Linked DNA regions of Cricetulus griseus. The protein of the gene in region 5 purifies or fractionates together with the protein of the main gene of each other region. This does not show direct contact. Links are inferred from orthologs where the notes say so. Each region holds a gene or a part of one and is shown on either strand. Other genes may lie near its edges.

Region 1 (3,518 bases), on a different chromosome or scaffold from region 5:
AGAAATAATCCATCTTGAACCTCTGTGCTTCTCTCTGGATATGTACTTCCTAGAAAAGTACATTTGTCAGAGACATCTACATCTCTGTCTTTAATGCCGACCTCTCACCTACATTTCCATAGTACATTAACAGCTGCTTACAGAACATCTACATGCAGACACCCAGGGTCTTTTGAAAGTTAGTGGGTGTAGATTATATCAGCCATCTTCTGTATCCCATAAGCCACCCCTTTCTGTTGATATTACCGTTTAAATGTGTCTCAAAGTTACCCTTTATTTTCTATTCCCTCTGCCCCTACCCCAGTTGACCTTGACAGAAGTACAAATAAAGGAAGGGAAAGACGAAAGAAGAAATGCTGAGGACTTACATCACAGGTTCCATACTGCACCATTACTTGTGACATAAAGATCACATTTCCCAGGGTCTTAATATCATCTCCTTCCCATGCCTGAATAGGTTCTGAAAGGATCTGCAATTCCAGTTGTTTTCTCTTTCGCAGTTCTTGGCACTGCCCCTACAGATGTGAAACAGAACATGGTACAATAAGGATTCAGGTGAGACCGGTGGGGAAAGTTCTCAGACCCAAAACGAGTTCCAAATAAGTTACGGCTTTAGACTCCTTGCTGCTCACTGGATCTCTTTATCCCTTACCCTGAATTCTATGGCCATCCATGCTCCTGCCAGACAAACACATCCACTACCTAGCTTTGATCCTCCCAACATTATAAGAAGAGGAGATAGCTTCCATTTTGCCAAGGAATGAAGATGACGTGCTAAGAAGGGGCTTATTGCTCCCTCCCCATGAAGAGTCTGTACAGACAAGGAACAGAATCCCATCAAGTAGAGCCAGGACAGTGATCAGCCCTTCACTGCCATGGGTAAATAGGACTGTAATTAAAACTAATTTCATATGTAAGATGTATGCTCACTCTCCAACAAAACTGCAACTTGATGGTAAGAAAAACAAACAAAAATTACTGTTAGAGTTTTGAAAACAGAGAATGGCACTGTCCTGACTTTGTTTAGGGAGCAACAGTACCTTTTAAAATACTAAGATTATTTTTATTCCCAAAGGGATTGGGGAAACACGGATACAAGTGGATTCCATGATGATCCCATTGGAAATTCAAATCAAGAAACAGTCTTCGAGTACTATGTGGGGTATGAAATACATAGATATAAAACCTGTCTCAGAAGAGTAAAGTTATCTTAGAGTAATTTAACAGTACTCATTCCAAAATGAATACATGTCTAAGCAAATGGTCCATTGCATTACTTTGTCCACATGAAGGTATAATACTTTTTGTGAATAATTTCTTTTCTATAAAAATCTGTTGCATCATCTAACCAAGACTTTAAGAAATAAATACATTATGCAGATTTTAAAGCATATGTATTTATAGTAAATATATTACCACCATCAAAGCAAGTTTTACAACATGACAAAAAAAAAGACACATTTGCTTTCCATTGTTGGAGGGGTGTATTTTAGTCTTGGTTTGTTCAGACAGGCTCTTACATGGCCCAGGCAGGCCTCAAATTCACTATGTAACTAAGGCTCTGATTTTGAACTGACTCTCTGTCTCCCAAGTGGTGGTGTCCAAACATGCCCTACCATGCCTGACAAACTCTTGAATTTGTTGTGCTGTTTGCTTGTGCTGCTTTTCCAAAGGCCTTCTATGCTAATTTACATAAGAATGAATAAAAGAGGTACAAGTTCCAATAAATGCTATCCCATCCATGGGTTTGAGTGAGCTGTTCTACGAAGTTGAGCCATGTAAAATTGCAGGTATTTTTACTACTTTTGCCTGACAACAGGTGCAAATTTATCACAATGCCTTGCCCGATCTTTAGTTTCCCTTTAAGCACTGACACATCAGTTACTTATCTTTCAAAAGCAAAAAAAGTGGAGTGATGCTGAATGCTATGGAGTAACCTTCTAGCAAGGATCAAAAGCTAAACATTGGTTCAAATCCCACAGAATGCTTTAGAAATGTCAAACATATCTAAATTTAACTCATTGCTCAAAATAAAGGGTATTTTTTCCTTCTGAAATGGCATCAAAAGGTTTTACATCAGCAGGTTCAAGGAGACAGGCTAACGTTGATACTCAAGATGCAAGATTATAGCTACCTCTGGTAGCAATCTATATTAAGCAGTTTCATTTTAGTACATTATGTTTTTCCTGTTAGGAAGGATTCCCATTTCATATGCAAAGAACAAATTCATATCTTTTGGCATAAATAGTGAAATCCAGTATTGATGCCAATCAGTGAATGACATAGGGTGAGCAATGGGGGTAAAGAAAAAGAAAAAAAAAGGAAACCCCCACCTACACACCAATGCTTAATGTGGCCAAGACTTTCAAATGTGATTGCTTTATACCCGCAGTCTGGTGACCTTTCATAGGCAAGCATGATTTGTGGAGAACAAAAGCAAATGTAAGAATCACAGAGCTACTGTCCTGAGAGTGCATTATTTCCATCCTGAAGACCTTTGCTTAAGGAAAGAAATGTTACACACAAATCATTCTTTCAGGAACAAAGTATACAAAATGGAGAATGACAATCTGAAAGTGTCACCTACCATGAGTGCTTTGAATGATACGATTGCTTTCAGAATGTCTTGATGATCCGGATGAGTGTCCTATCAAAGGAATACATTTAAAAACAATATCAGCATATGCATATATGTATGGAACAACATTAATGAAAAAAGAGGCCATGAGTGAAAGAGAGCTAGAAGGGGTATATGGGAAAGTTTGGAGGGAGGAAGGAAGGAGGAAATGATGTAATTATATTATAATCTCAAAAATAAAAGAAATAATTGAAAATAAAGAACAAAAACAGTATTAGAGGAAAATGGATGCTGCCACGGATGAGTGGAATGAACATATGGCCCCAAAGGGATAATAAGGCAGAAGTAAGTGTGTGTGTGTGTGTGTGTGTGTGTGTGTGTGTGTGTGTGTGTGTGTAAACAGACCAGAAGAGATGGTATGTCCTTCTCTGCATCTGGATTCCAGTTCAGTTCAGTGATTAGTTGTGGGTGTCGGCTTCTACTTCCACCAGCTGCTTGATGAGGGCTATCAGGTGGCATATAAGTCAGTCATCAATCTCATTATCTGGGGAGGGCATTTAAGGTAGCTTCTCCTCTGTTGCTTAGATTTTTAGCTGGTGTCATCTTTGTAGATCTCCAGACATTTCCCTAGTGCCTGATTTCTCTGTAAACCTAAAATGTCCCCCTCTATTATGGTATCTCCATTCTTGTTATCATCTATTCTTCCCCTGACTTAACCTTTCTGCTCCCTCATGTCCTCTGCATCCCTCCTCTTCTCCCCTTCTGATTCTCCTAGCTCCCTCTCCCCCTTCCCGTGCTCCCAATTTGCTTAGGAGATCTTGACCCTTTCCCCTTCTTCAGGGGACCATGCATGTCTCTCTTAGGGTCCTCCTTGTTTAACATTATATTTAATAACAACATAATAGGTATCAATATTGAAGTAAGATTTCCCATTTCCCTC
Region 2 (3,518 bases), about 37 Mb from region 5:
CAGAGCAGATTTCAGGACTGGGGACTGTTACCAGGATGAGTGTGTTCCTGAAAGGAGGGGGACCTGCTTCATAGCTGTGCCTGCTGTCGGTGTGCTCATGCCTGCTTTTGGTGTGCACACAGCTAGCCCCAACCTAAGCCCTTCATTAACCAGGTGGAAATGGAACCCATCTGGCCTCTGAGCATTCTTTACCTCTAAATCATCTGAGCTGCTTTAATGGATTCTTCTATGTCTTACAGTTATATTCCCTGCTCAGAGAGAATACATGTTGCTGTTACCGAGATGGCAGCCTTATTCCCCAAAGTAAGTCACTTCCTACTCATCCTCTGTTAAGTTTCTCAGCATTGTTTCCTGACCTTATATTGTCTTTGGTGAGGAGCAGGGTGCTGGGATAAAACCCAGGGCCCTGTGCATACTAGGCAAACACTCTCCTGTACAGCTGTGCAGCAGCTCATAACCTTTTTCTTAAGTTTTTTGTAGCATACAGTTATTAAATACATCATCTTATAGGGCTTTGAGGTGTTTTCACTATGCATGGATATCGGTTTTAGTAAGACCTGGATGTGTAAGTCAGGTGCTACAAGGCAAAGCAGTAGAATAAAGTTTAGGATACAAAATATATATATATGATTTATTTGTTATGTATACAGTGGTCTCTCTGCATGTATCCCTGAAGGCCAGAAGAGGGCACCAGATCTCATTACAGATGGTTGTGAACCACCATGTGGTTGCTGGGAATTGAACTCGGAACCTCTGGAAGAGCAGCCAGTGTCCTTAACCTCTGAGCCATCTCTCCAGCCCCAAGATTATATTTTTAATACCTCAAAATAGCACATAATATTAAAGTTCTTCTCAAATGTAAGCATTTCCTCACTCTTAGGCCATGGTTCATAAAGCTGGTATTGTTTTAAATACCCTATTGAGCCGGGCGATGGTGGCACACACCTTTAATTCCAACACTTGGGAGGCAGAGGCAGAAGGATCTCTGTGAGTTTAAGCCCAGCCTGGTCTACAGAGCAAGTTCCAGGCGAGGCTCCAAAGCAATACAGAGAAATCCTGTCTCGGAAAAAAAAAAACAACAACAACAACAAAAAACAAAACAAAACAAAAAAATACCCAATTGAGAAAGGTTGGACTTTACTCAACTGCAGTTGCTGTCGGGGCAGGCTTATGCCTTGCTGCTGGATGTCCATCCTGCAGCCCACAGCAAACAGCTGTACTCTTCATTTTAGAAACCCAAGTCTGACACGGTGAGGACTTCCCTCCGGTTACTGACGTCCAGTGCCTACCGGCTCCAGTCAGAGTGCAGAAAGGCCCTCCCAGGAGACTCAAGCTTGCCCACGGATGTGCAGTTGGTCACACAGCAGGTCATCCAGTGTGCCTATGACATCGCCAAGGCTGCCAAACAGCTGGTCACAATCACCACCAAAGAGAACAACAACTGAACTGTGGGGCGCTATCCTTCTATTTTATAGGCTTCTGAAAGTCCGGCTTCAGTTTAGACATGAACTCTTCAGATTTTTACAAAAACATTTAATAATGATTTGAAACTTTTTAAAAGAAAACTCAGTATTATTTTTGCATGTTTTCTAACAGATTTTTGACTGTGATTTAACCATTGCCTTATTTGTGCCTGTTTGCAACTTAGCTTCTGTTCTGTTGCGTTGTCACCAAGCGCTTAGGTCATGATCGGATGTGTTTAAAAGGAATTGTTTGGAGTTTGCTAAAACTTTTCCATCCTTTAAAACTCTCTGCCCATGGCTAAAACTATAATTGATATTTTTAGTAAAACATTTTCTTAAGAGAGTTGGGTTTTAAAAAAAAATCAATGTTATCTGTTCCTTCCAAGCATTGTGCAATAAGTAGGTTTTCCATCCTGCCGTAGAGTCTCAGAGCTTGGGGTATCTCTAGGCATGTGTGGAGAGCAAGGGTCCTTGCCTCTTCCTAAAGAGAGCGAATCTCTTGGGAAGGACAGGGGAATGACCCATTTCTAACTTTTGTATCATGTTAAGTGTCGTGTTATTTAATATTTTTATCTTGATTTTCTATCTATAAAGATTTTACCATAATACTGAAGTCTCCATAATGTCCAAATAGTAGTTATGAATCCACCATCCATATCAGGTTCCAGTTGGCCACATTCACAGCAGGAGTACCACCCATTGTCAGGGACCTGCCTTCCCCTGAAGCCAGGCAGTTCACTCAGAACTGGTACTGACATTCCTTCCGTGGGTGGACACTTGGTGCCCTTCACCCTTTGACCTCTTACAGCTTCACATGTCTCCTCCTTTGGAAGGATTTCTTCCCAGGTAAGCCATCATGGTCAGTTTCTTCCCTTCACCTCACTGGTACTGAGAGATTAGACACCCTGTGGCACTGTAGAATAGTTGTCAGCATGCTTTAGCTCCTCTCTCCCGTAGCTCTGCAAGGGCAGAGGTTGACGTCTAGGACACAGCAGCCCTGGTGTTTACATTACTTAAGGCTCTTTCTTGTGAATGTTACAGCCTATCCCTATCCCAGCTTGCCACATCTGTTTTATATGGGTGGAGCTTACCTGAGAGAGCTGGCAGTATATGGCTAGGAAGCCAGCCAGGTGTACAGCCGGGCACAGAGGGAGGGCAGGTGGGGAGCCCTGCCCAACCTGCAAGGACAGCAGCTCTTTTCCCTCTGACGCCTCTCATGTTGCTGTGGAGAAATAGACCTGAGTTGCTAAAGCTTTGATTTTCAAGATAGCAGAAATTTGGGTTATTTTATGCATGTCAATTTAGACATGCCTACTGAACAAGCAGAAATGAGCTGTGGCCTCTAGGCTGTCTCTCACAGCCTCTGCTGGGCCTTTAAACCATAGCCTCAGGGCTGGCTTTAATGGCCACCAGAAGTAGCCTCTGAGCCAACCTTGGAAGGCAGCACTGACCTGCTATAAGGTCACTGTCAGTCCCCATCCCCCAGTGTGTTCTTGGGAGCAGACCGACACAGTCAGGTTCACCAGGTCAGGTTGCCTACATTGTGTGCATGGGAAGGGCCAGCACTTACCTGTCTATTCAACCCAAAACGTCACTGCTGGACGCCTAGGAGTGCCTTTCAGAAAGGGGTCTGCTAGCTTGAGCTCAGGCATCGTCTTTGACAAGCTTTTCTGCCTGCTGCTTCAAGAACTGTACCACCCTTCCTGGCAGGCTCTGTGGAGCCGATTCCAATCCAGAGCGGGTTCCCATGACCCTCCCCCTCCACCCCCCCCCCTCCCCAGACAACAGGCCTCTGTTGGAGGCTTCTCACAAGAGAAATGTTAGAGGCAAGGACCTGCCACAGAGGATACTGTCTGCGGAAAACTAAGGAATATGGGCCAGTACTGCGTTTCCAGGTGCTCTCAAGAACACCAGAGTTCACAGTCAATCCTGAGTCCTCCTCAGGCTGAGGCACCCCTCACAGAGCCCCTCCCCTCATGAGACCTGGAGTCAGAACATTTGCTCCCATAGGCAAATGCATCTTGTCTCAACTCTTGTCCTGGCCATTTTTGCTTG
Region 3 (3,518 bases), on a different chromosome or scaffold from region 5:
CACATCACTGTCTAGGAATGTCTGTCCAGTTCCCCCATCTCTCCCAGTTTTGGATTCCCCACTTGCTTGGGGAGAATTGTGAGGGTTGGAATAACATCCATGGCCAGGATATTAAAACACCCACCACCACACAGTTTATACAGCTGCCTCTTGGATTGCTCTGTCCCAGCAGCTGCCATGAGAGTACCTGGTGTTGGAGGCCCAAGTCCCATAAGGCTTTCTACACCTCTGGCCTTCTGGCATCACTGGGATTGTGGCCAAGAATCTTTGAAGAGGAATTTGACCTCTTGTGACAAACTACTGTTCTGATCAGAGAGATCCAAAACCCTTAATCAGTTAAGAACACCTTGATTCTGTAAAACTTCTGTGTTTCATATGCTTTGTCTGAACTTAGATGCCCTAGGCAGAATAAACCCTCCCAAATCCGTATGTTGAAATCTTGACACACACACACACCCCACCTCAAAAGTGGGATTATCTGGAGATGGAGCCTTTAAAATAGCAATTAAAACAAGAGTATTAAGAATAGTTAGGTCTGCCAGGTGGTGCACTCGGGAGGCAGAAGTAGGCGGATCTCTGTGAGTTCGAGGCCAGCCTGGTCTTCAAAGAGAGTTCCAGGACAGCTTCCAAAGCCGCAGAGAGACCCTGCCTCCAAAAACAAAACAAAAAGAAAGAAAGAAAGAAAAGGAAGGAAGGAAGGAAAAAAAAGAAAGGAAGAAAGAAAGAAAGAAAGAAAGAAAGAAAGAAAGGAAAAAAGGCCCTAACCCAGTGTGACTTGTTTGCACAAGAGCTATGACACACACAGAGAAGACTGAGGATTGCACTGAATCTGGGATTGCAAGCCAAGATGACTCTTAAGTAGAACAGAGATCTAAATTTTGACCTAAGTGTTCTGACTTGCCCTTATGTCCCCATGTACTTGAATCAGATGATGTGATCCATGCTGTCACCTTTCTGGGCCAGTGTATCCACTTTGACCAGTTTGCATTGCCTCAAATTCTCCTGGCTTTGAGCTGGGCCTGGTGGCCCCGCTGAATGATGGGGGATGATGTAGCACAGCCCTTGCGTTTGGACCTGCATGCTGGGCAAAGCCTGCTTATTCTGCAGGTTAAAGATGAGAGGGCTTAACTACCCCTGGAGGTCACTGGGGAAGAGGGGAGTCTGCCACGGGCTCCACAAAATGCTCCAAGCAGAGCTGAAGGGAGAGTGTTCCCTGAAAAACTGAGAAATTTTGCCCCCCCCTGCGGTGCATCCCCTGCTCTTAGCCAACATGCTGTCCTCCCCTAGAATTTTTTTGGGTTCTACATTTTAACTGGATCAAAAGCATGCTTAGGTTAGGGCTTCCCAAAATCACCTCCCCTCCCCCGCCCCCCCACCCCCCCTCGGTGTATGGAAAGGAGTATGTTTTACATCACAGGCCAGTGTTTGCTCACGTGTGGCTGAAGAAAGTGTGTACAGGCTAACCATGATGCTCTCTGAAGACGTTCCTCCATCCGTCGGCTTTTTGAAGCCCATTCAGTTGACCTGAGGGGTCCACTTGCAGGTTACCCACCACGAACTTCAAAGTCCTGCCTTGGACATAGTATGTCAGCGAATCTTTTACTAATTCGCTCTGTCAGTCTGTTGTAGAAAAACCAGTTCAGTGTTCTGTGAGCAAAGATGCGTTGGAAGTGGGGAAGGAAATGAGAAGGGCCAGCATGCAGGCAGGCAGGTACTAGGAGGGCAGTTCATCAGGGGAACAATGAGGAGGAGCCCTGGAGCAGGGTTACAAACTTCAGGAGGGAGGTAAGTGGATGCAGGGCAGGGTACAGCCCTTCTGGTGGTCACCTGACCCCCTGTAGCATTGCCACGGTCTTTACAGTCATTTAGTCCAACTTCTTACCCATGCAAAATTGCAGGCACCTTCTCTGCCTTTTTTTATATTTTCAGTCCTGAGCCCCAAGGGTTCTCCAAAACTGGCCATCCTTCCAGAAGAACTTTTCTGTTCTTGTTAACTTTGTATCATAGACTTATTGGCATTTGTTTATGGGTAAGTATCAGTTTTTAGTAACTTCGTATCTCTGCGGCACAGCTGTTATCATTTTCTTTTCCAGCTGGTAACTGTCGTTTGTAACCAGTCTTTATGCACCCACCCTGGGCGGGAGAACTTCCATGCCTAATAGCGTAGGGAGTAGGCATGTGCCCAGTGCCAACTGAGCCCTCTGCCATGTCTTCACAGGCCTCGGAAAGACGCGCAGGAAGCCGAGCGCTCGGGATGCATCCCCAACGCCCAGCACTGATGCGGAGTACCCGGCCAATGGCAGCGGTGCTGACCGCATCTATGACCTCAACATCCCCGCCTTCGTCAAGTTCGCCTACGTAGCTGAACGAGAGGATGAGCTTTCCCTGGTGAAGGGCTCCCGTGTCACAGTCATGGAAAAATGCAGCGATGGCTGGTGGCGCGGCAGCTTCAATGGGCAGATCGGCTGGTTCCCCTCCAACTACGTGCTGGAGGAGGCAGATGAAGCTGCCGCTGAGGCCCCCAGCTTCCTGAGCCTTCGTCGCGGTGCCGCTCTGAGCAATGGGCAAGGAGCACGGGTTCTGCACGTGGTGCAGACGCTGTACCCCTTCAGCTCCGTCACTGAGGAGGAGCTTAGCTTTGAGAAGGGGGAGACCATGGAGGTGATTGAGAAGCCTGAGAACGACCCTGAGTGGTGGAAATGCAAAAATGCCCGGGGCCAGGTGGGCCTGGTCCCCAAGAACTATGTGGTGGTCCTCAGTGATGGGCCTGCAATGCACCCCGCGCACACCCCACAGATCAGCTACACCGGGCCCTCAGCCAGCGGGCGATTCGCTGGTCGTGAGTGGTACTATGGCAACGTGACACGGCACCAGGCCGAGTGCGCGCTCAATGAGCGGGGCGTCGAGGGCGACTTTCTCATTAGGGACAGCGAGTCCTCGGTAAGTGCCCAGCTGCCCCTCTGCTGGGGCCACACTGCCAGGAGAAAGCTAAGAGTACAGTTCCCTCACCTGCAGGTTCAGGGACTCGTGCAAGCCGTGGTCCGAGGATGTTCAATGATCTCACAGTTTTCATTATAGTTCATTTGCCTGATTCAACATTGTTAAAAAGCTTACCAGTCTTACTTACAAGTTAGACTTAATCGTGGACATGGACAAAAAACTTATTTTTTTAGGGTTCTCATCTACCACGGTTTCAGGTATCCACAAGTTCTTGGAACCTCCTCAAAAACAGCCACCTATGTGGGTGACATGACCGGTGTGCCATTCTCTTGTTATATTCACTGACTATATATGTGAAATGGCACAATAGTATTTGAGGGCACATACTAAGCTAGGTAAATACTGTGTTGGCACAGGGTCCACTGCTCCCAACTTAACTTAAATCTGGGTTGGGTAGACTGAGGTCCCTGCTGCCATTCCTTCTCCTGGGTGTGGTAAGATGTGGACAGTGCCTTTGAGCTCTCACGGGTGGTTTTGGCCCTATAGTAGGGCTTCCCCTTTCCAATTTAAAGATGCAG
Region 4 (3,518 bases), on a different chromosome or scaffold from region 5:
AATGGGGAATTTCTGCCTCTGATCTCAGAGGCCCCAAGATAACCCAGGCAGTGGAGGCTATCCCCAGCCACTTACTCAGTTTACAAGACAGATGGTGGCGCCACCTAGTGGTCCTCAGAGGGCTACACCTTCATGCCAGGCAGTGCTCCCTGGCATTAGGAGAGGTTTTCCACCACAGCCTGTGCAGACAGGTGGGCTGGTCAGAACTGCCCTGTTCTAAGACCCCAAGACTCAACTCTACTTCTCTAGTCTGATCTGAGGCGGGGGGGGGGGGGGGGGGGAGAAGAAGAAAGAGAGGTGTGTGCGTGCATGTGTGTTGGAGCACACGCTTGTATCTATAAGCACCACATGCACACATGAATGTAGATTCAGGGTTATTCATTTAGCACCTTCTCAGAACCAGCAGCTGCTCTTGGGACATGGAGGTAATGCCCTTGAGCTACAATGTAGCAGTCTGAGGGGACAGCAGCAAAGAGTGCAAAGGCTTGTGTCCCACAGCATAGTGTGAGGGAGTAAGACTGGAAAGAGCCAGGTGGGACTGAACCTTGTGGGGAACTTCAGCAAGAGTGTAACCATCGTGAGGGAGTTCTGAACAGGATCTCTGCTACTACCAGGCTGTGTGACTTGAAGCAGGTTACCTAACCTCTCTGAGCCTTGGTTATCACATCTCAAAATGGGTGTGCTAATACTTACCCTTTGGGGAATGTTAGCATATTTTTTTTAAAGAAAGAATTGTGAAGAAGTATGGTCGGGGTATGTTCTTTGTATGTTACTATTGGGCTGCTTTAAGGCAGAGTACTAGCCAGGTGTGTTAGCACTCTGCCACCAGATGAGAAAGGATCTAGAGGCAAGCCTAGAAGTAAAGAGATAGACTGAGAGATTCCTAAAAGCCCAGACCAGAGAAACAAGGGCAGAATTGGTAAGCATGGCTAGGATCTGAGGTAGAGGGAGACCTGGGGTGGCTCCATATAGCTGACTGGACAGAGGAGCCAGCTGAGGAGACAAGTTCCCCTGCATGCTCTGTGTGGGGTGTGTGGAGATGTGTCTGAGCGCGTCCGCTCCTGGGTAATTGCTGCTCTGTCCTGTTCTTCCCTCTGCTGCCATCCTGGATTAGATCTCGGCAAAAGTGCATGTCTCAGAGGTACTTGCACCTGCCTGCTGCAGGCTGTAAAGCTTGGGCAAGGGGAGGCTTGGTGTGTGGCCTCAGGGTCTCATCTCCCTGAGCTCCCTGCATGCTTGGGAGGCAACCAGCAGGGACCTGGCAGTCTCTCATGTCTGGCCTCTCCTTCTTTGTCCACAGCCTGGATCTGTCTGAATTGGCCAAAGCTGCCAAGAAGAAGCTGCAAGCAGTGAGTCTGCCTCAACAAGCTAAGACTCCTTAAAGCTGCTCTCCCTAGCCCCGTCAGCCTCCTCCCTCCCTCCCTTTGATCCTGGTTCTGCCCACCAAGTGTGTCCATCTCCTGGAGGGAAAAATGGCCTGGACTCCCTTCTTCCTTGCAGAAAACCTCACCCTCCCCTCAGTTCTAAGACAGGCTGGGTGACACGGGTCATGAGCCTTCCTCCCGTCACACAACATCCTGACAGACTCTGGGTCCCCCTCCCCCCCACTCCCTCTCTGCCTCTAGCTCAGCAACCGGCTTTTTGAGGAACTTGCCATGGATGTATATGACGAGGTGGACCGGCGAGAGAATGACGCTGGTGAGTGGCAAGGAGTCTGTCCCTCAGTGAACTGAGAAGGGGAGCTGGACTGGGGCTGCTCTGAGGCCTGCTGGGTGAGCCCCTGCCATCCTCTGCTGAGCAGCGCTGAGCTGTAGGCAGCTAGCTGCCTCCCTGCCCCACCAGGCACTGGAGCTCATCTTGCTCTGGCTGCCTCCCACTTTGGCTGTCTCCCCAGCCCTGCTCCACCCCACCCCCCACCCCACCCTGCATCACTCCTTCCTGGCCACAACCAGACTCCAGCCCAAACTCTGGGTCTGGTCTAGTGGGCCCTGCCTTGTTCTGTTCGTCAGTGGGCGGGCCTCACTGGGCCTTGCCCAGCTTTTATATTCGTGGAGACCCCTGCTTCCTGAAACACTGGCCCAGTGGGAATAGGGTGGGCCTTTGGGGCCGGGGGCTCTCTGCTCTGTGCTTCTCCTACCTCTGCATGGAAGGCCTAGTCACAGTGGGTGATCTGCTCCCTGCCCCTCCCCCACAGTGTGGCTGGCCACCCAAAACCACAGCACCCTGGTGACGGAGCGCAGCGCTGTGCCCTTCCTGCCAGTCAACCCAGAATACTCAGCTACTCGGAACCAGGTGAGGGGGTATAGGCAGGAGGCCTGGGTGGTTTCCTTTCTTTCTGGGATCCCTGCCCTTCCTTAATCTGAGGCCTCCCCTTAGGGTCTGACAGGCTTTGGGGTTCGGGGAATGGGATGAAGCTATTCTTTAGCACTGGTGGGCATTCCAGTCTCCTCCTGGGGGCTCCCTGTGTGCCTTAGGCCTTTGCTGACCTGAGGCTCCACACTGCTCACCAGCCAGATGATGGCTGGGTTTGGGGTTTTGGTTTTTTTAAAAGCTATGAATAGAAAGGATGTCAGGGTCCCACTTTGCTGCTGTGGTCCAGCCCCCATGGGCCAACCAGAAATGGCCCCTCATGCTGGCCTTGCCCCTTCTGCCTTACAGGGACGACAGAAGTTGGCTCGGTTTAATGCCCGCGAGTTCGCCACCTTGATCATCGACATTCTCAGTGAGGCCAAACGGAGGCAGCAGGGCAAGAGCCTGAGCAGCCCCACAGGTGAGCCCCACATGAGCAGGCCGCAGCACTGCTGCAGGCCTTGGAGCCACCTTTGCTTGGGATCTGGATAAACAATGGCTGAGCAAGCCCTGAGTGACAGATCTTGTGTCTTCAGACAACCTCGAGCTGTCTGCACAGAGCCAAAGTGACCTGGACGACCAACACGACTACGATAGTGTGGCTTCTGACGAAGACACAGACCAGGAGCCCTTGCCCAGCACAGGCGCCACTCGGAACAACCGTGCTAGGGTCTGAACACTGTCCCTGCTGTAGACCCAGCTCCCTGTTACACATAGCCCAGAGTCAGCCTCTGCCCGAGACTGACTGGCTTCTGTCTCTGCAGAGCATGGACTCCTCAGACCTGTCGGATGGGGCTGTGACACTGCAGGAGTACCTGGAGCTGAAGAAAGCTCTGGCCACCTCCGAGGCCAGAGTGGAGCAGCTCATGCAGGTCAACAGCAGCCTGAGTGATGAGCTCCGGAGGCTGCAGAGGGAGGTGAGCACTGTTGCTTGCGGGAGCAGGAGGAAAGCATCAGAGGCTCTGGGAGGAGAGGTCATCTCTTCCCAAAGGTGGTACCTACCCTGACCCAGAGTTGGATACCACTGTGTACACTCAGATCCACAAACTGCAGGCAGAGAACCTGCAGCTTCGGCAGCCGTCAGGGCCAACACCTACACCCCCACTTCCCAATGAACGGGCAGAACACGTACCCATGGGGCCCGCTGGAAGCACCCATCGCAGGGACCG
Region 5 (3,518 bases):
CTGAACCATCTTGCCAGCCCATAAGGAACTTATTTTTTTTTTTGGGGGGGGGGGTTCGAAACAGGGTTTCTCTGTGTAGCTTTGGAGCCTATCCTGGCACTCGCTCTGGGGACCAGGCTGCCCTTGAACTCACAGAGATCCTCCTGCCTCTGCCTCCCAAGTGATGGGATTAAAGGCGTGCGCCACCAACGCCCGGCCTATAAGGAACATTTTTATAGGTTTGTATTGAGAAGTTATATTCAAGCCCCTGTGATAGAGTTTCAAACAATGTCCTTTAGATGTGGCTGGCAGGGACCAAGGGTTTTTGCACACACTCAGCAAGTGTTTCTCACTGGGCAACAACTATCTCCAGCTCTGTTCCAAATGTTTTTAAGAAAATAAAGTATAGACTGCATACTTAATTTCTCCATAATCTCTTCATCTGTCATCTTGGCTTTCTTTTTCTGTTTGTCTGAAGACTTGGCACCACCGTCAACATTAGAATCACCAGCTGGAGCAGGAATAGGGTCGATGACAGACCGTGTGTAAATCTGAAAAGATATAGCTCATTGTTGAGACTTGAGAAAAAACCATTTTCAGATAGTCTTAGTAGCAGAAAATGTATTCTTTGATTTTTTTAAAAAACCAAACTAAGTTATCTTTCCCACTGTTTTGAAGAATGGGACAGTATACTCACACAAGAAACACAGGCATAGTGGTGCCTGTTTGTAAGTCTAGCACTCAGGAGGCAAGTAAGAGGACACCCCAGGCTACAATAAGACCCTGTTACAAATACTCCACCTCCCCAAAACATGTAACCAGGAAAATAATGTATAATGTATTTTTTTTGACACAGCATGTATGTATTTTGAAAATATCTAGCAAAATAGGTCTATGAAACTCCTTCCAGTGTGACTACATCTAAAGTACTGAGAACAATGTAATGAAAAGAAGCACATGCTACTTCTCCAAAGGTCCCACATGGCTGCTCATAACCATCTGAAACTCAGGTCCAAGGATCTGATGTCCTTTTCTGACCTCCATAGGCAACAAGTACAATGTGCTGCACAAATATACACCTAGGCAAAACATCCACACACATAAAGTAAAAATAAATTAAAAAAAAAAAAAAGCATACCTGCAGCCAGGCACAGGGCACACACTTATACTTGGGTGCCTGAGAAGCAGATGCAGGAGGATCAGGAATTCCAGGCCAGCCTCAGCTACATAGCGAGACTGAAGCCAGCCTAGACCACACGAGACCCTGGCTCACAACAAAAACAAAATGAACCCACAACAAAAACAAAATGAACCCAACACAGCTTAGAAACAGAAAAGAGTAATAATGCTGATGTTGAGATAACTATAACCACCTCCCTCTGTAAGATTTACATAAATTCAACAGTGATCATATTCTTTCAAACAGCCAGTCCTAAGTCATAAAGAAAACACAGTCTTCCACCACTGCATCAGTTTCAGTTCTGTTGCTGAGTGGAGCAAGAACCCTGGGGCAGCCTTCCATTCCATCACAGCGGGAAGGGCAGTACTGGAGCCCGTTCTTACTGCCTGGCTCTACTTAAGGCCCTTACTCTTAAAATTCTCTTAATGGTAAGTAATTTCATTCTTAAACACCTCTTGAATAAACATAGCCTTTGAAAGCAAGGTAAAATACATAATTCAGAAAACAGCAATGATCTAGTTTTAGATATAATAGTTATCTATATTGAGAAAGCTAAAAAAATAGATCCTCTTTAGAGTAAGAGAGAAACAAGGAAGAAAAACCCAGTAAATTAAGTTTCTTAACTTTTAAAGAAGCTGTAATTTTCTTTTTTGTCTGCTTTTACAGATAGGGTCTAGGTCTTCGTACGTAGCTCTAGTTGGTCTGGGACTCACTAAATTGTGGCCTCTTAACTCAAAAGAGAGATACACCTACTATGCTCGATTAAAGATGGACACCACCATGCTTACTCAAGACCTTACTTTTCAGGCCAGGCAGTAGTGTTGCACACCTTTAATCCAAGTACTCAGGAGGCAGAGGCAGGCGACCTCTGAGTTCAAGACCAGCCTGGTCTACAGAGCAAGTGCCAGGACAGCCTCCAAAAGTCACAGAGAAACCCTGTCTCGAAAAACAAAAACAAACAAACAAACAAAAAAAGAAACATTTAGGGGTTGAGAGATGGCTCAGAGGTTAAGAGCACTGACTGCTCTTCCAAAGGTCCTGAGTTCAATTCCCAGCAACCATGTAGTGGCTCACAACTATCTATAATGAGATCTGGTGCCCTCTTTTGGTCTGCAGGCAACGTGTAGGCAGAACACACTGTTTACACAATAAATAAATAAATCTTTTTTTTTTTTTTTTTTTTTTGAGACAGGGTTTCTCTGTGGCTTTGGAGTCTGTCCTGGAACTAGCCCTTGTAGACCAGGCTGGTCTTGAACTCACAGAGATCCACCTGCCTCTGCCTCCCTAGTGCTGGGATTAAAGGCGTGCGCCAACCCCCGGCTAAATAAATAAATCTTAAAAAAAAAAAAAAAGACTTTACTTTTCTAAGTCATTATTATTCATTTTAATTTACTTATTGTGTGCATGTGTGTGCACACCCACCATACTGTGCATGAGATAGTCAGAGGATAAGTTGGAGGAGTTAGGTCTCTTCCTCTACCATGTGGGTCTGGGGGATTGAATGCAAGCTGTCAGGCTTGGTGGAAAGCACCTGCTCAGCCATTTCATCAGCACCAAAAAGTAGGCTTTGATAAACAACCAAGTTTCTGCATACTGCAGTATTTTAAGTTCGAGGGCCTTTAAACATTTCACTCACTGATTTTGTATGGTCTGGCCGAGGGGCAATGACAGGAGGAGCAGCATCTTCATCATCATCGTCTTCCTCTGTCACTACTGCTGACGTTTCTGATCCCTTAGTATTCAGCTGCACTCATCATGGGAGCAAAAAAGGAGGACAAGCCAGAAAAATTAAAAGGTTAAAATGTAAATTTATTTCTTCAACAGCTCATTTAAAAACAACTGAACTCCACTGGTTCTGATATAACCAATTAAAAAGTAAATGAATATGTACGGCAAGTATCATTTTTAGTGGGGAGGAGGTTCTGCTAAGGACTGAACCCAGGCCTGTGTATGGTGTAATAGCTTTACTACTGAGCTACATCCATAGCTCCTAGGTAAGCAATCCATTTCACTGGACCAAAGCAAAGGCCCTCTGGACGATGTAAAAAAACCTCATTTTGAGGCATTTAAAAGATCTAGGTACAACAGTTAATAAAGCAAGAAAAGGAGCTGACATGTGTGAACTATTTAGAATGTGCCTCAGTTTACCATACCCAGAAAGGTACTGGAAGGAGGTTTGGGGAAAAGAGAATATGCAAACCAGTTCACCATATTCACGTTCAATATGGCAACACTGGAGAAGTAGCTAAATTGCTCTGGAAGTTATTATTAAGTTTATTGCTTTAAAGTGCCCATAAAATTCTATTTACTTAACGTGACTTTTTCAATTAATCAAGTAGGTAACTTAAGAAAAAAACAG

The links.
Region 1: the proteins of Pak2 (region 5) and Arhgef6 purify together in Homo sapiens (affinity purification with mass spectrometry; 3 studies listed by BioGRID and IntAct, counting the BioPlex papers as one, with this or other methods). This does not show direct contact. The link is inferred for Cricetulus griseus from reciprocal best matches to the Homo sapiens genes PAK2 and ARHGEF6.
Region 2: the proteins of Pak2 (region 5) and Git2 purify together in Homo sapiens (affinity purification with mass spectrometry; 3 studies listed by BioGRID and IntAct, with this or other methods). This does not show direct contact. The link is inferred for Cricetulus griseus from reciprocal best matches to the Homo sapiens genes PAK2 and GIT2.
Region 3: the proteins of Pak2 (region 5) and Nck2 purify together in Homo sapiens (affinity purification with mass spectrometry; 3 studies listed by BioGRID and IntAct, counting the BioPlex papers as one, with this or other methods). This does not show direct contact. The link is inferred for Cricetulus griseus from reciprocal best matches to the Homo sapiens genes PAK2 and NCK2.
Region 4: the proteins of Pak2 (region 5) and Git1 purify together in Homo sapiens (affinity purification with mass spectrometry; 5 studies listed by BioGRID and IntAct, with this or other methods). This does not show direct contact. The link is inferred for Cricetulus griseus from reciprocal best matches to the Homo sapiens genes PAK2 and GIT1.

Annotation. Positions count from the first base shown.
Region 1 is NC_048604.1:15,174,722-15,178,239, reverse strand, and holds part of Arhgef6 (rho guanine nucleotide exchange factor 6), read right to left. Parts: intron 2,648-3,518; coding exon 2,588-2,647; intron 516-2,587; coding exon 369-515; intron 1-368. UniProt on the Homo sapiens protein: Acts as a RAC1 guanine nucleotide exchange factor (GEF).
Region 2 is NC_048597.1:94,338,601-94,342,118, reverse strand, and holds part of Git2 (ARF GTPase-activating protein GIT2), read left to right. Parts: intron 1-239; coding exon 240-303; intron 304-1,232; coding exon 1,233-1,445; 3' UTR 1,446-3,518. UniProt on the Homo sapiens protein: GTPase-activating protein for ADP ribosylation factor family members, including ARF1.
Region 3 is NW_023276807.1:4,964,571-4,968,088, reverse strand, and holds part of Nck2 (cytoplasmic protein NCK2), read left to right. Parts: intron 1-2,218; coding exon 2,219-2,940; intron 2,941-3,518. UniProt on the Homo sapiens protein: Adapter protein which associates with tyrosine-phosphorylated growth factor receptors or their cellular substrates. Maintains low levels of EIF2S1 phosphorylation by promoting its dephosphorylation by PP1.
Region 4 is NC_048600.1:90,905,064-90,908,581, forward strand, and holds part of Git1 (ARF GTPase-activating protein GIT1), read left to right. Parts: intron 1-1,300; coding exon 1,301-1,349; intron 1,350-1,625; coding exon 1,626-1,698; intron 1,699-2,194; coding exon 2,195-2,292; intron 2,293-2,658; coding exon 2,659-2,770; intron 2,771-2,885; coding exon 2,886-3,019; intron 3,020-3,113; coding exon 3,114-3,266; intron 3,267-3,387; coding exon 3,388-3,518. UniProt on the Homo sapiens protein: GTPase-activating protein for ADP ribosylation factor family members, including ARF1.
Region 5 is NC_048597.1:57,460,621-57,464,138, reverse strand, and holds part of Pak2 (serine/threonine-protein kinase PAK 2), read right to left. Parts: intron 2,904-3,518; coding exon 2,796-2,903; intron 531-2,795; coding exon 398-530; intron 1-397. UniProt on the Homo sapiens protein: Serine/threonine protein kinase that plays a role in a variety of different signaling pathways including cytoskeleton regulation, cell motility, cell cycle progression, apoptosis or proliferation.